2 linked regions of the Coturnix japonica genome follow. The protein of the gene in region 1 interacts with the protein of each later gene in a biochemical or structural test. Links are inferred from orthologs where the notes say so. Each region holds a gene or a part of one and is shown on either strand. Other genes may lie near its edges.

Region 1 (6,817 bases):
TCTACCACTGTACAACCTACGCTCCTGAAACAGAGGCAAAAGTGAGACAGCAGGTTACAACAGAGTTGCGCTCTTCTAGGAACACAAGCAATATCAAGTAGATTCTGAAGTACCACAAGAAGCAGCGTCCACTTATCTCTACAATGCAGCTTTGATGGAAAGCAGCTCTTCACTGTCACTGCGTTAAGCAAATCACTACCCGTGCATCTCCAATGCATTGCCTCACTGGGCCAAAAGCTGGTACCTCAGCGAAGAACTCAGGAGGTATTTATCTCGGCACTATTGATTGTGTGATGGCCACTATCCTGATTGACATCTCAGTGCTCAGCAGGCTGACACAGCCCTTCATGCAATGTTGCTTCAAAGAATTCTCTTGTGATCACTAAACCAATGGGCTCATGAAATGCCAAAGCAACAGATCCAACATTTCAGTGTTACACTCTCCAAATGCGTAAATAGGATTGCCAGTGCTCTCACGTGTTATCTCTTCAGCTTAAACCTCAGAATAAAACACTCCAACTTCAGGTGACAAACACTCACATTCTGCTGAGAAACCACCCGTTCTGAAATCATGAGTTTTGTTAGAGAAGTTTTGTAACATACCAGATATCTGCTTTCCTGCCGTACCCTTCTCCACTGATAACTTCTGGACTCATCCAGTATGGAGTTCCTGTGACGGACTTCATCCCAGTCCCAGACATACAGATGGTCTGCAGTCGTTTGCTGGCACCAAAGTCACCCAGCTTCACATTGCCCGCTGAATCTCGCAGAATATTTGCTCCTGGAAGGAAAAGAATGCAGCTTTGGTGTAGAAAGCAGCATTAAAAAAAGCTTCAGATTCAGTTCTGGTGCTCCCAGAGAATTTCTCTGCTCATTCCTCTGTTTGGAGGTTGAGTAAAATGAACTGTTATCTGCCTTTTGCATCCTAGGCCTTCCCCAGAAAGCTTCAGTTACTTTGTAAAACCCTGCTGATAAAGAAACACGCCATGTGAGGGCAGCAACCTGAAATAGGAATTTCTCTTTTCACACTACAGAAAAGGCCTCAATATGGTACTAAAGCAAAATCTCAGACTGTGTTGTAGACTTGCTTACAATACTTACCTGCATAACAAAAACATCACCTTTCCCCATTCTGGGGGAGGAAATACATTGCTCATATAAAGCAAAAGGAAATCCCTAAGAGTTTTGGAGGATACAAAGGCTGTTCTACACACCTATTTTGCACATCACCACCATCTTCCTACATATTTGTAACTTGCTTTTGCAGCTCTTACACGACCTCTGTATCTATCAGCAAGAAGTACATCGATTTCCTGGCAGAAGAGTGCAAGCAGTGTGACTCACTGAGGTCGGGGGAGTCACCTCTGCCAGGCATTTCTGGAATAGTGAAAAGCTGCAGTTTCTGTGTAGCTGATAGAAACAAAACTCAGTGACAACTAATAGTTTCATGTCTTGATGCTTTCCTCTGTATATTTCAACCGCTTGTAATGATCTCCTGGTGTATTCAAAGCTACTTAAATTCAGAAGGAGATTTTATTATGAATGCTTTGCAGACAGACTCTAGGGAAACCTTTTCAGAAGTCTGTTAGAACACCCTGAGTTTACAACAGCAACAAGAAGTAGAAGAATCATTATGGCTTTCCATCAAAGTCAGCATTTTGGTATCTCAAACTTAACAAAGTTTTAGCAATTCACACCTGGCTGACAAGACTGGAAAAGAATCTGAAGTAAACAGCACCCAACTGTGCCCAGGACTGCCCTCCTTACCTTTAATGTCCCGATGGACAATCATGTTTGTGTGCAAATAGAGAACTCCTTCTAAAATCTGCCGCGTGTATTTGCGAGTCACATTCTCTGTGAGTGCTCCATACGATTTTAACTGGTCTTTGATGGAACCCTATGGCAAACAAGCACAGAACACTGTAATGTAGATGTAGTTTTGTGTCCCTTAAAAAAAAGAAACAAAGCATTTACATAAGAGGCTGAACAGAGAAGTCACGCACTACAATGTTAAGCCGTTAACTCTAAAACTATCGAGTAGCTAAACAGCAACAGTGTGTTGTACAGGAAAAGGACACAGAAGGACATTTTGCACAAACCACAACAATCCTGAAAAAGCAAATGAAGGAGGAGACATGGAGGGACTGCTACAAAAACCTGTTGGTACCCAGCTATTGCTTTGTTTTAATTCAGGATTTCCTTAATATCTGTGTGCCCTTCTGTAAAAGCTGCCTACTTGAGTGCCTATCACACTACATAGAAATGATGAGTGGATGGGTTTTCTCGCTTACCCCTGGCATATATTCCATGAATATAGAGAGTGTTCTCTCCGGTGGGTCCCTCAAGAAGCCGTAGTACTGAACGATCCTCTCGTGCAGCAGATTTTTCAGCAACTGAATCTCACATTCAAGAGCATTTACTTCCTAAACCAAACAAGCAAAAAACAACAACAAAATCAAACACATTCGTTGAATGAGGATTTGCCCAATAATTTTAAAATGTGGTGTGACACTGGAATCAGGTTCCCAAATTAGTTCTTTTCAATTATTAATAAAACAGGATTCCTAATGACAACATGGAAACGTGTATTAAAACAAAGAAGGAACAGTTCAACTTATGTCGCAGCACGTTCGCACTGTACCTCATACCTTGCTGGTTTCTGGACTATCAGGATCAAACTGTACTTGTTTAACAGCCAGTTCTCTTCCGGTATCAGCATCGTAACACAGATACACTCTGCCAAATGCACCCTGACCCAGCAGTTTGCCAAGTCTCCAATTAGTTGGAGCTCGTGGTGCTGAAAAGGTAAACAAGATTTCTGTTTTAATGTCAGCTTGTTGTTCAGCTGATTAAAGGAAAAAACAACGCATAGAAAACAACTTTTTCAAGGGCCACCTTTTTCAATGGAAGATCACACTTCTCTATGTAATTTACAAACATGGATAAAACTTTCTGTAAGATGGGAAGTTTATTACAAAATAATGAATTTCTAGTAAAGATGCACGTACTTATGCAGCTGGTAACAGCTAAGCTGCAAAACAGACAAAGCACGTTGAGCAAACTTAGTCACACTGTTTTAAAAATGGAGGCCTAATCAAAACCTGCTGACTACTGCAATCATCACAAGGTGTATTTGCTCCTCCACGGTCATACAATACCAACAAAGGCCAACAAGTTACTCCAACCTACATAAGCCTTCTCATGTCCTCCAAAGGTTAACATGTTGAAAATACTTCTATAGTGATTTATTATCATAGATGTTTATTCCATGCAAAAATCTAAATGCAGATTGGCACAGCAAGCAAAGAAAAAAATACAGAGCATGAACTCTTGACTTTTTCCTATTAGGGAGAGAACAACATACAGTTCGATCACATTTCTTTGGATGACATGCTTAGTTTTGACATGACACATTGAAAGGTAAGAGTTTTACAGCAGAGGTCACAATGTTCCTTAACTTACAGCGACTGGGTGGGCTGATGTCCATGACAGTCAAGGTAGGATTGTCAATGTCACTCCCCCTCCTCCTCATTCTGTTATCCTCATACTCTGGTGTGAAGACGCTGCTCCCACTACTGGTGCTCAGTGAGTGATCAGTGGGACTGAAACTAACAGGTGACCGGAAGCTGTTCCCCTGCGTCCTCCTGGCCCTCGGAAAAGTTTTACGACCTTCAGTGTTACACAGAGAATACCAGTGTTACACTACAAGTTGACATCTCAGTGATGCCCAGGTTGGTATATTCATTTTTAAAAGAAAATAAGTAAGAAAAAAAAAATTGAGTAGATAAAGATCTACCCTTGGAATCAACAGGAAAACCACAAAACAAACATCATCAACACTGCATGACTCAGCGATGGAGACAGCATTGGAATAAAAAAGGACACTGATATTCAAAAAGGTAAATTACATCCAGATGCTTAGAATAACATCAATATATTTAGATAACAAACACTTTTAGGTCAGCACAACTTGGTGAATTTTCATCCCGGGGAGCTTCGGCATAAATTGCCAAAGGAATATCTGAGTCATTAAGTATTACACCAGAGATGGAGCTCCCAGAGGACTGAAGAAGGCAAGTGAAATGTCTTGAAGGAGTGGACTCATATTTACACACTAGTCAGGCCAATTTCAGTGCTGCGATAAATACATGAACAAATTATTGAGCAGTGTTATAAAATCACTGAGAAGATTATGTGATAAAGCAGCCAAAATTGATTTGACACATAGCTAATCCAATGTACCCATTTCACGAGGACGTTTCCTCAATCCAGCTCATGAAGTTTTGGCTGCCATGAGACTGAAGAGAACTAAAAATAAGGGCCTTGCACAAATGCTTGAAAAAAATTTTAAGGAATGTATCAAGGTTTGATAGAAGAAAGTTGAGGAGAAACAAAACAGATATTTGTGAGACTGAATTTTACAAACAGGCAGCACTTATTTTTCAACTCTGTTACAAAGGAGTAACTTGTTACTTGTTGTACATGCACCGTTAAGATTTCACCAGGTAGATTTTCTTCTTTAGCTGTGAAGAGGAGAAAAGCAAGTTAATTATGTAGGACTCCTACAGCATTCACACTTACCGTCGTTGTAATCTTGTTGATGATATGAAATATGGTACCTTCGGGGATAAGTTCCCCCCTTGCCAAACTTCTCAAATATTGGGATATCGTACTCTACTAGAAAATACAGAGAAACATTTCACAGTTAAAAACACAACCAAGGCTTCCATGTCAATCATTCTGCTATTGTACATTTAAACATGGGGAAGAAAACAGAAAACAGAATACTGCAGAGCAAAGAATATTACAGAACAAAATGCACACAAAACCAACAAATCTAACTCAAAGCTCTGAAGGATTTCAATCATCTAACAAAAATTGTTTGCCATCTCCTGCTTAAAACAGCACCAGAGGATGGCAGCGTGCCTTGTTACTAGAGGCGTTAGTAGAGACCTACTAGAAAACAACAGCTCAACAGGAAAAGTGACAGAACCTCAGTTTAGTCTAAAACTGAAAAATGAGCAAATACAGAACGCTGATAAATGAGTCAACACATCCTCAATTACTAAAACACAGCCAATAAGTTCTCCTTTCTGATTTATTAAGTATTGATATTTAAGGGGAAACTCCTTCCTGAATAAATAATTGGTTAGAAAATGAGCATATAAGATGGCAGCAGTGGTGAGTAGTTCCACAGGAATCTGGGCTACAACCCATGCAGTTTAACTGCACATGAACTCTGCAGACAGAGCAACAAATAGCGAGGTGACAAAATTATTTTATAAATACGTTCTATTGAAGCACGTCCATAAGGATACCTGAAAAAACTTTCAAGGTCACCCATTGCACTTGGTGTCCTGAATCGTGCACAGCAATTTGGATTCAAGCCAGAGTGTGGTATGAAAGCAATGTTAGTGGTGATGACTCATTAATTTATAGGCACAGCAAACTGCTCTCCTTCATGCTCGCACTTTGGAATGCTTTCAGTTACAGCAGTTATGAGCACTTAAAAATGATTCTCTTTCCATAAAGGATGAAACAGCAGCTGAAACATGAAGTAAATTAATGAAGGATTATGTACTCATTTAAAGATGGACACTGCAGTTCACTTTAACCAACCTGTGTGCCATTAGGCCATGCATTATTTGCCTTTGTTTTTTTTCCTCTAGCATCAGAGGTATGTTTTACTAAACACAACAGCACTGGTGTTACACACATTAACTTGAAGAAAACCTTTACAAGATACACCTAATTGCATCTTTCGCTGTATCTATTTGGATTGCACCTTGGTGCTATGTCTTCTACTACCATTACAAGCTTGTGTAAGGTAACACCTCTTAGTATGAGCTTCCCTTTCAAGTTCTATGACTTGCAAGAGAAAGTACTTGGGAAAGCTATTACGGCCAGCCAATTTTGCCTACCTGAGAATTCCTGATGATTATCTGGATAGCTCTGTGCTCTCGGCATCCGAGATTTGGGATAGTTGTCTCTAGAAACGTGAAAGCAAAGTATTTTAAAATGGCAACTACCGTAACAAAACGATCCCACTGTGTTACAATGCTTTATGGATGATGGAAGCTTTATACTGTATAAAGCTGCTGCTCGCAAATGTGGAACTTGATCTCAACATCAAGTCTATTAGGTGACAATAATCATTCAGGATCAGTAACAATGGAAATCCTTGCTCTTTGGCTTCAGTGTGGTAAGACAGCAGCAGGCTGTGCCATTCGCACCAATGAAGCCACAAAGGAACACTGTGAAGTTTAACACCTTGATGGCTGAACACACAGTTGATAAACAAAAAATCTCTTATGCAACCTATAAAATCCCTCTAATTCAGCCAAACAAGTGCAGAATTTAATGCCTCCAAATATTTCCTCTTTTCTCCACAAAAGCCATAGGATTAAGTTAGTCATTTTAATGAGTTAAAGAATGATGTAGAATTTTTTGGTCGCACTAATTAACATGTTAAGCAATCTAATAAAGATGACTAATGAATGCAAGCAGTTCTTACCCATCTAAAGGGCTGTCAAGTGAGGGACAGCTTCCTGAGCCAGAATTTTCAGGACTGCTCAATGAGAGTGGATCCAGCATCTAATAAAAACCATGGAGATAAAGATCAGAAAGGTTTGTTGTTTGTTTTTTTTTCTTTTTATGGCTTGAATATTCATGCTTTGAAACTCTGAATTAGAAATAAGACACCACCAGTAACAAACAGGAATTACTGGAGAGAAGGATGACTGCCATAGCTTAACCTACATCAAATAATCTTCCCTGAAAGGATTCCACAGTTCTATGGAGCAGAATTGAGTGAAGG
Region 2 (6,817 bases), on another chromosome or scaffold:
CTAACTTCCTACTGCCTATTTTTTGACCCTGAATAAATTCGAATGCCGCACAAAAATTAAATTAAAACCCATTAAATGATACCTGTCCTCATGTGAAAAACATACAAGGCCAACATCTGTCCAGACACAAGACCAAAAAAGAAATGGAACAACTTCCATCAGGAATTTATTTTTTTTTTTTAGGTTCTTGCATCCATTTTCTCAGTGGTGATCAGTATAATTATTGTGTATAGCATCAATCCTCTAAAGTATGACTGAGGCACAAATATACTAACATATACTAACATACTAACACCCTGGGGAGACACTACAGCCTGTTTGTATTTTTAAATACATAACCCATCTTTGTGAATCAGTAAGTCAAGATAAATGAATAGTGTTTATAAGTACATATAACTTGGCTTGAACAAGATTGCCAGACAAAGTAATGGCTACACTCACCGGCTCCGTGAAAATATATTGCATCCTATAAAATTTCTCATCAGAAAAAGTAAGCAAGCAAAAGCTTGGTGTTAGCTCTCTACAGTATTTTGCCTAAACATAAATTTCACCATTTACATATTTTGATCATAGAGAACGGATGGATTAAAACAAAAAGATCAACAACTATTTATAGGGAGGAAGAGATACTGCTCCCCAATTATAATATGTAAGTCCTTGAACTTCCTAGTCATCAAAGCACTGATGCAAACCGTATTTACTAGAGGTCATGATTATAAAATAACTAAGGGCTAGAACTGCATAGGTCATTGTTACATAGCAATTTACTTATATATTTCCTCTTCGCAGGCTTTACTAAACAAATTCTGCACTGCGTTTCTCTGACAAACATTTACATCTAAATTCTTATTTAGCCACAAATGAATTGCTTTCAAAATAAAAACAAATGCTGTCTTAAAAACAAAGCTGTGAATAATTTGGAATCTGAAATCTCTTGTGAGAAGTATTTTGAAGTTTTTCCCACTGAAATGTCAAGAAAACAAACCTGGCATTGCTACTTTTGCTGCCAATTACAGGTTTACTACTATAGCATAGCTGCAGCCTGACAAATGCTTATTGTTGCAACGATTTGGTGAACACTACATTCCACTCAAATATTCTAAGTGTTTCCATCAGGGTAAAGACATTCAAACACAAACAAAATGAAGTGCCTAGAGGAGGAAAGGAGAAACAAGAATTTATCAAGACTGCTAGTGATTTATGGGAAGTAATGATTATGGGGCCCAGGCAGTGTGAAGAGATGATTCTATTAATCATTTTCTCCCTGATAGCTACGTGCTAAAAATTGGCACCAATATATCATCAAAATATTAAGCTGGTGGCCCTGCAGTCTGGAATTTATTTAGGGAGATGTCATTGTTGCAGGTGTCTGTGATGGAAGAGAGGACAAGTTAATTACCTCTTCGCCAATCTGGATCTCTCGGACGGAGCGAAGTAAAAGCTGGTATCCTTCAAAAACGATCACACAGTTTGGGTCACAGCTGTGATTCAGCAAAGACATGCTGTGAGAGGTGGTAAAGGGAGAGAAAGAAAAAAAAACTTTAATATACTGTCATTACTGTGGACATAATTTGGAAGTAGCTAACTATATTACATCTTAAATATCAAGCAATTAAGTTATCAATAAATAAAATCCCTGGTAGATGAGCTGCTCTTGGTTAGGGGAGAAAAGTTATTGTTTACCAATGTCTATCTTCAAACAGAAGCCATGTCTGAATCTGCCTTCCTTAAACTCTGGATGGAAGGGCACTTGCCAAGGATTTGGGAACTATAAGTAATAAGTAATAAGTAATAGTCTCGTGCGGGTTGGAAGGGACCTTAGAGATCATCGAGTCCAACTCCCGGGATTCGAGCCTATGTGCTGCAGAGCGGCACTTCTACCACTTGCGCCACACGGGGGATTCGAACCCCGGGCCCTGGTGTTGCAAGGCGGCATTGCTACCACTGCGCCACCGGGGCACACGTGTGGAGGATGCGGACTTAAATTCACAATTTTCCCAACTCATAGTGATTTGAAACAGCAAAATTACATCTGCTCTGAATTAAACTGGAAAAAAAAAACTTTAGCACCCTTTTGCAAGGCACCATTAAAGAACACTGCAACTTCCTTACCAGGCAGAAGCTTTTTAGAAAGCTTTTAACTAATAATAATGCTCCAAAATAAGGTTCATTTTCCCCAAAGTATATGAAAAGATTTGTTTCCATTTCCCTCTGAAATCAGATGACTGTCCTGTGCTTTTCATAACATTAATTTCTCTGTCCTCATAGCAGTTCTTCTCCTATTTTTATCACGAAGCAGGCCTCAAGATCGTGCCGTTAGTCAAATCTTGCACATATGACATTAGTAGAGAAAGAAACAATAGCAACAGGCCCCTTTAGATTCTGACAATACAAATCAACCCTAGATTCACACAAATAAATTAATATAGTAAGGTAAAATGTTCAGTTATTCATGTTCACCACTGATAGTTACAGTAACAGAATTCTATGAAGGCAAAGCCTTACCTGTTACATATTTATTAACTAATACAAACAAGAATCTGAATACCCATTTTTCAAGGGGTTTACCTTTTTGCCTTACTTTCTTAGGTATGGTAATTAACTAATAAACACATTCAATCTTTTTCTTTTAATTGCCAATTTAGAAGGCTCTTGGTTGCAAAATATGTATCCTTCAAAGCAGCACAGAACATATTTCCTTTCAATTATTTAGGAAGCCTTAGTAACATGTTTATAATGTTAGCATTTATTGTTACTTAAAAATGACTACAATCTCCATAAAAATAAGGTATGAAGACACATCCTATTTAACTGTGTAATCAGAACCTTCTAAGAATGCTTTCAATTTGATGACTGCTTTCTATTCTCTTCTAATTTATTTGCATTTGCCAGTTTCTTGTTTAAACATGTTACCTGCTTTGATGGTGCTTATAGCTACCTCGGAAAAGAGGGAAAAAAGAAAAACCTAACATAGATTTTGCCTGTGAATGAAACAGTGTCCATGGTACCTGGGATATAGGCCAACACCAACATCCTGCATCTCTCCATTACTGATGGTGAAACAGTTACAGGTCACCTGTAAAAACAACGGAAAAAATCCAGGATTACCAGACTCATTTGGAAACCCCACACTCAAGTGAAAAATCTTCCAAAATAAAATGAAGGGGCAGCTGGTAATTGGATGGGAAACATTCAAGTCCAACACTGGTGCTCTTTCATTTAGGAGTAATCACATCTGGGACACACTCTCCTGTAAAACTGCCGTCAATTAAAGCAGAAATAATAGTATCCTGCAAAAATGTGGGGTTAAACACATGCAGAGGCCCTACTTTCCTGTCCAGAGGGAGAAAAAAAATACCCTACACAGAGTCTGAGAAGCTCAGCCTGAAGACTACAGAGCAGGTGACAGTGACAGCAGATGAAAAGAAGTGGCTGCTTCCATGTCAATATTCTACTGATGCCAGGCTGTCACAGACATTTTAATGAGTGCTACTGGAGCCCAACAAATATAGCTGTGTCAGTTTTAAAGTAGAGAGCAGCCTTGACTGTCGCCAATGTGATACAGGCACAAATACATACAAAGACGGTACAGTTCCCCATTGTTTGCTCTCTGGATATTTTGGTTTGTATATACAAGATCACATAAAACAAATTTCAAACTGTAATTAAAGATAAATATAAACTTTCATCTCAAATATTCCACTAGATATGTATCTTCCCTCTCACTCATACAAACTTAAAGTAGCTTTACACAGGAGTAGAAAAGAATAAAAGTTCTGTGCAAGGAGATAGAGTCAAACTGCAAAATAACAAACAGGAGTCATCGTGTTCAACTTAGAATACAACTCCTAATAGACCTTTAATATATCAGATTGGTTTTGGGGGCAAAACATGAATTTTTTTGTTTGTTTGTTTCTTTTAACGTTGTTTGTATTTTTACTGTTTGTTGGTCAGTTATCAATGACGTACTCACACAATACTTTATGCAGAAAAAGACTGCATATAAAAGAAAAGTCCCAGGTCTGTTCTACATAACATTAAATGCCATTTATTCTCTTTAGGAAAAAAAAAAAAAAAAAAAAAAATCAAAAAAAAAAAAAAAAAAAAAAAAAAAAAAAAAAGTTAGAGAGTTAGAGTATGATTTGGCAGTTCTGAAAATGAGACTGGAAAGTTGCAGTTTTATTCTGAGCAATTACACAGAATATTAAATTTGCACCTCTATTGCAAAGAGGTGCACTGAACAACTTAATAGTACATATTGTCTTACAGAATTGACAAATTATTATTTATGAGAGCATTAACCATAAGGTGAGAATGAAATCCTTTTTCAAAAATCTCTCATAAATTCTGACAGCAACATTAATTCAAATAAAAGTATATGCAGTAGGGTTTATGTTATTTTAAATGGTTAGACAACTCTATGATTAGTCTATTATTTATATAACCCATTCAAATGTTCCTCTTAAATTATCAAATACATACATCTTAATTATTTTTGTCCAACTGGCATTGGATACAAAGTATCAGACAACTTCAGAGCAAAGATTAGACTATTTCAAGTGGCAATTAAACTAGCTCTAAAAATATTGACTTGATTTTGGTATTTATTGAAAAAATAATGCCTTCCAGGTAAAAGAGAAAGAAAGCCAGCTTATGTGGACCTTAGCTCTCTCTAGTGGATTATGAAGTAGCAGAGGTCAGACATTTCTTAGAAGTAAATGAATCCCCCTTCCTTGCAAATCTCCTACTATTACCATAAAACTGTTTATATTTAACAATATGGAATTTTGATCACTGTAGAGTTATAGAGACAATTCCATTATTTTCTAGTAAAGGTACATATTCTACCATGTGAAAAAGTTTCACACACAGAAATCACAACATTTTCACTTTTTGCTTTTTATAGGGCATACTTAAAGAAAAACATGAAATGAACGGATGCTCTGAGATTCAGATATCAAGACTGTCTTTCAACAGCAGCTCTCTGTGAGGCACTTATTAACCTCCCTGTTTTAGATGTTTTCATGGTATGCAGTTGCATCCCAATATCCTAATGAAGTAGTGGAATACCATCTAATTTCAAATTATTTGCAGTTTCCAATATGAAACTGGGAATCAGAAGCATTCAGAGTCACATTTAGAAAGGCATGTAGGTACCTCAACACAGACAGAAGTCTAACTGCTCCTATGAATTTTAGGCTACATCATTTTGCTCATAGTCTGACCAGATTAGCCTCCTAGCAGACAATCTTTCCCCGCTGTTAAATTCAAGTATGGAAGAAAATTAGACAGTGATGCCCATGCAAAATGCAATACAGATGCTGCCCTTTGTTGTGGTTGCTTTCTGTCTGCAAGCGGAGAGAGAGAACATGAGACAGTAGTGAGAAATAATATCACCTATGGCATTTGAAATTCTGATATATGTTAGTCTCCACTGACAGTTTGCAACTGGCAATAGATAAATGAAATCTGTCAAAGTCCATCAACAGAGGGTTCAGTTGTTTGTTTCCTTTTTGATTTGTTGCGAAGTTCCTAAGAATCTTCTGAATATCCCCTATATTTCTGTTCACATACACTTTTAAGAGGTTTCTTATCTCCCAAAGTTACAGATGAACCCTGACAAGGGGACTGCTGTGGTTACAGTTCAACAGAGGAGTTAAGGTTGTAGGCCATGCCTTGCTTGAAACAAGAGTAAGAGGAATTTCTGTTACACAAATCCTGAAGAAAAATCCATTTTCTAGATTCTTGGGATTCAGTGTTGCTCAGACAGATGAACTGCAGTTTCCAACATTGCTGAGAAGAGCACACTGGACACTGCCTATTCCAAAATAAGATGAAGAAATCAGTTATTGATCAAAACCTGCTGTACCTAAAAGTCAACTGACTCCACATCCAAGAAAAAAAGAACAAAAACAAATAAAAACCCCAAGAAGAATAAAATCAAACAAGCAATGCCTTTCTCATGTGTATTTCTGTCAGGTTTCATAATCATCCTGTATAGCCTTATTTCTGTCTTAACAGATGCATCGTACTCCCAGTAAAACGATCTTCAAGGTTGTGATTCTTTGTGAACCCAGATTTTAAAATAAGGAAGAATAAACAACTCAGGGTAAGTTGCTGCTTGAGGATATGGTTTCTTCCCTACAGACACGTAGCCTTTGTCATCTTAACTCCTGCAGCATCATTTATCTTGGTTATTTAATTTATGTTTCAGTTCAACCTGTCCCTTCTGATTCCTCTAAACATTCTTTTCTGTCCAGTGCCATAGCCCTATAACTGCATATTCACATATAGAGACAGAACAGAGTATTCAGAGTTTGTCATACCCACAAATAAGGAAAAATGTTCACATACTTCAGAACTTCAAAGCTGAATAGTCAAATTCCTCTGTCACTTCTAAATTTTCTGAAATAACACATTTCCCAGTATGAGAACTGAGGAAAAATTCTCACAGAAGATTCACAGACTTTTTGAGTCTCCACAGGGCAACGTGTTTTTTTAGGACTCTCCTATAGTTCTCAAGACTTCACATCGTAGACTGATTGGCCATAGAATTCACTGACAATTTAAACTATCAGTCCTCAGTGCTTGAGTTTGCACTGTGGCAATAAATCTTGCAAGTTTATTTAAAAGGAACTGCTATGTCAAACAACAAACAATATTACATACACTGATGGATTTAAATAAAAGAACTTGCTCTTTTAAGAGACTGTACGTGTTTTAGAGAGGCATTCTGTACTCAGTAAGGTAGCCCAGAAAGAAGACAATCTTTCCCAAACCAGTGGAGACACAGCATAGTCCAACTGACCACTACTCT

The links. The genes of interacting proteins can lie anywhere in the genome.
Region 2: the proteins of MAP3K2 (region 1) and SMYD3 are reported together in a solved structure, tested with the Homo sapiens proteins (2 studies listed by BioGRID and IntAct, with this or other methods). The link is inferred for Coturnix japonica from reciprocal best matches to the Homo sapiens genes MAP3K2 and SMYD3.

What each region holds. Positions count from the first base shown.
Region 1 is NC_029522.1:23,180,914-23,187,730, forward strand, and holds part of MAP3K2 (mitogen-activated protein kinase kinase kinase 2), read right to left. Parts: intron 6,595-6,817; coding exon 6,515-6,594; intron 5,990-6,514; coding exon 5,922-5,989; intron 4,678-5,921; coding exon 4,582-4,677; intron 3,670-4,581; coding exon 3,463-3,669; intron 2,798-3,462; coding exon 2,649-2,797; intron 2,424-2,648; coding exon 2,292-2,423; intron 1,898-2,291; coding exon 1,768-1,897; intron 782-1,767; coding exon 604-781; intron 25-603; coding exon 1-24. UniProt on the Homo sapiens protein: Component of a protein kinase signal transduction cascade. Regulates the JNK and ERK5 pathways by phosphorylating and activating MAP2K5 and MAP2K7. Plays a role in caveolae kiss-and-run dynamics.
Region 2 is NC_029518.1:30,805,499-30,812,315, reverse strand, and holds part of SMYD3 (histone-lysine N-methyltransferase SMYD3), read right to left. Parts: intron 3,077-6,817; coding exon 3,009-3,076; intron 1,503-3,008; coding exon 1,400-1,502; intron 1-1,399. UniProt on the Homo sapiens protein: Histone methyltransferase. Specifically methylates 'Lys-4' of histone H3, inducing di- and tri-methylation, but not monomethylation. Also methylates 'Lys-5' of histone H4.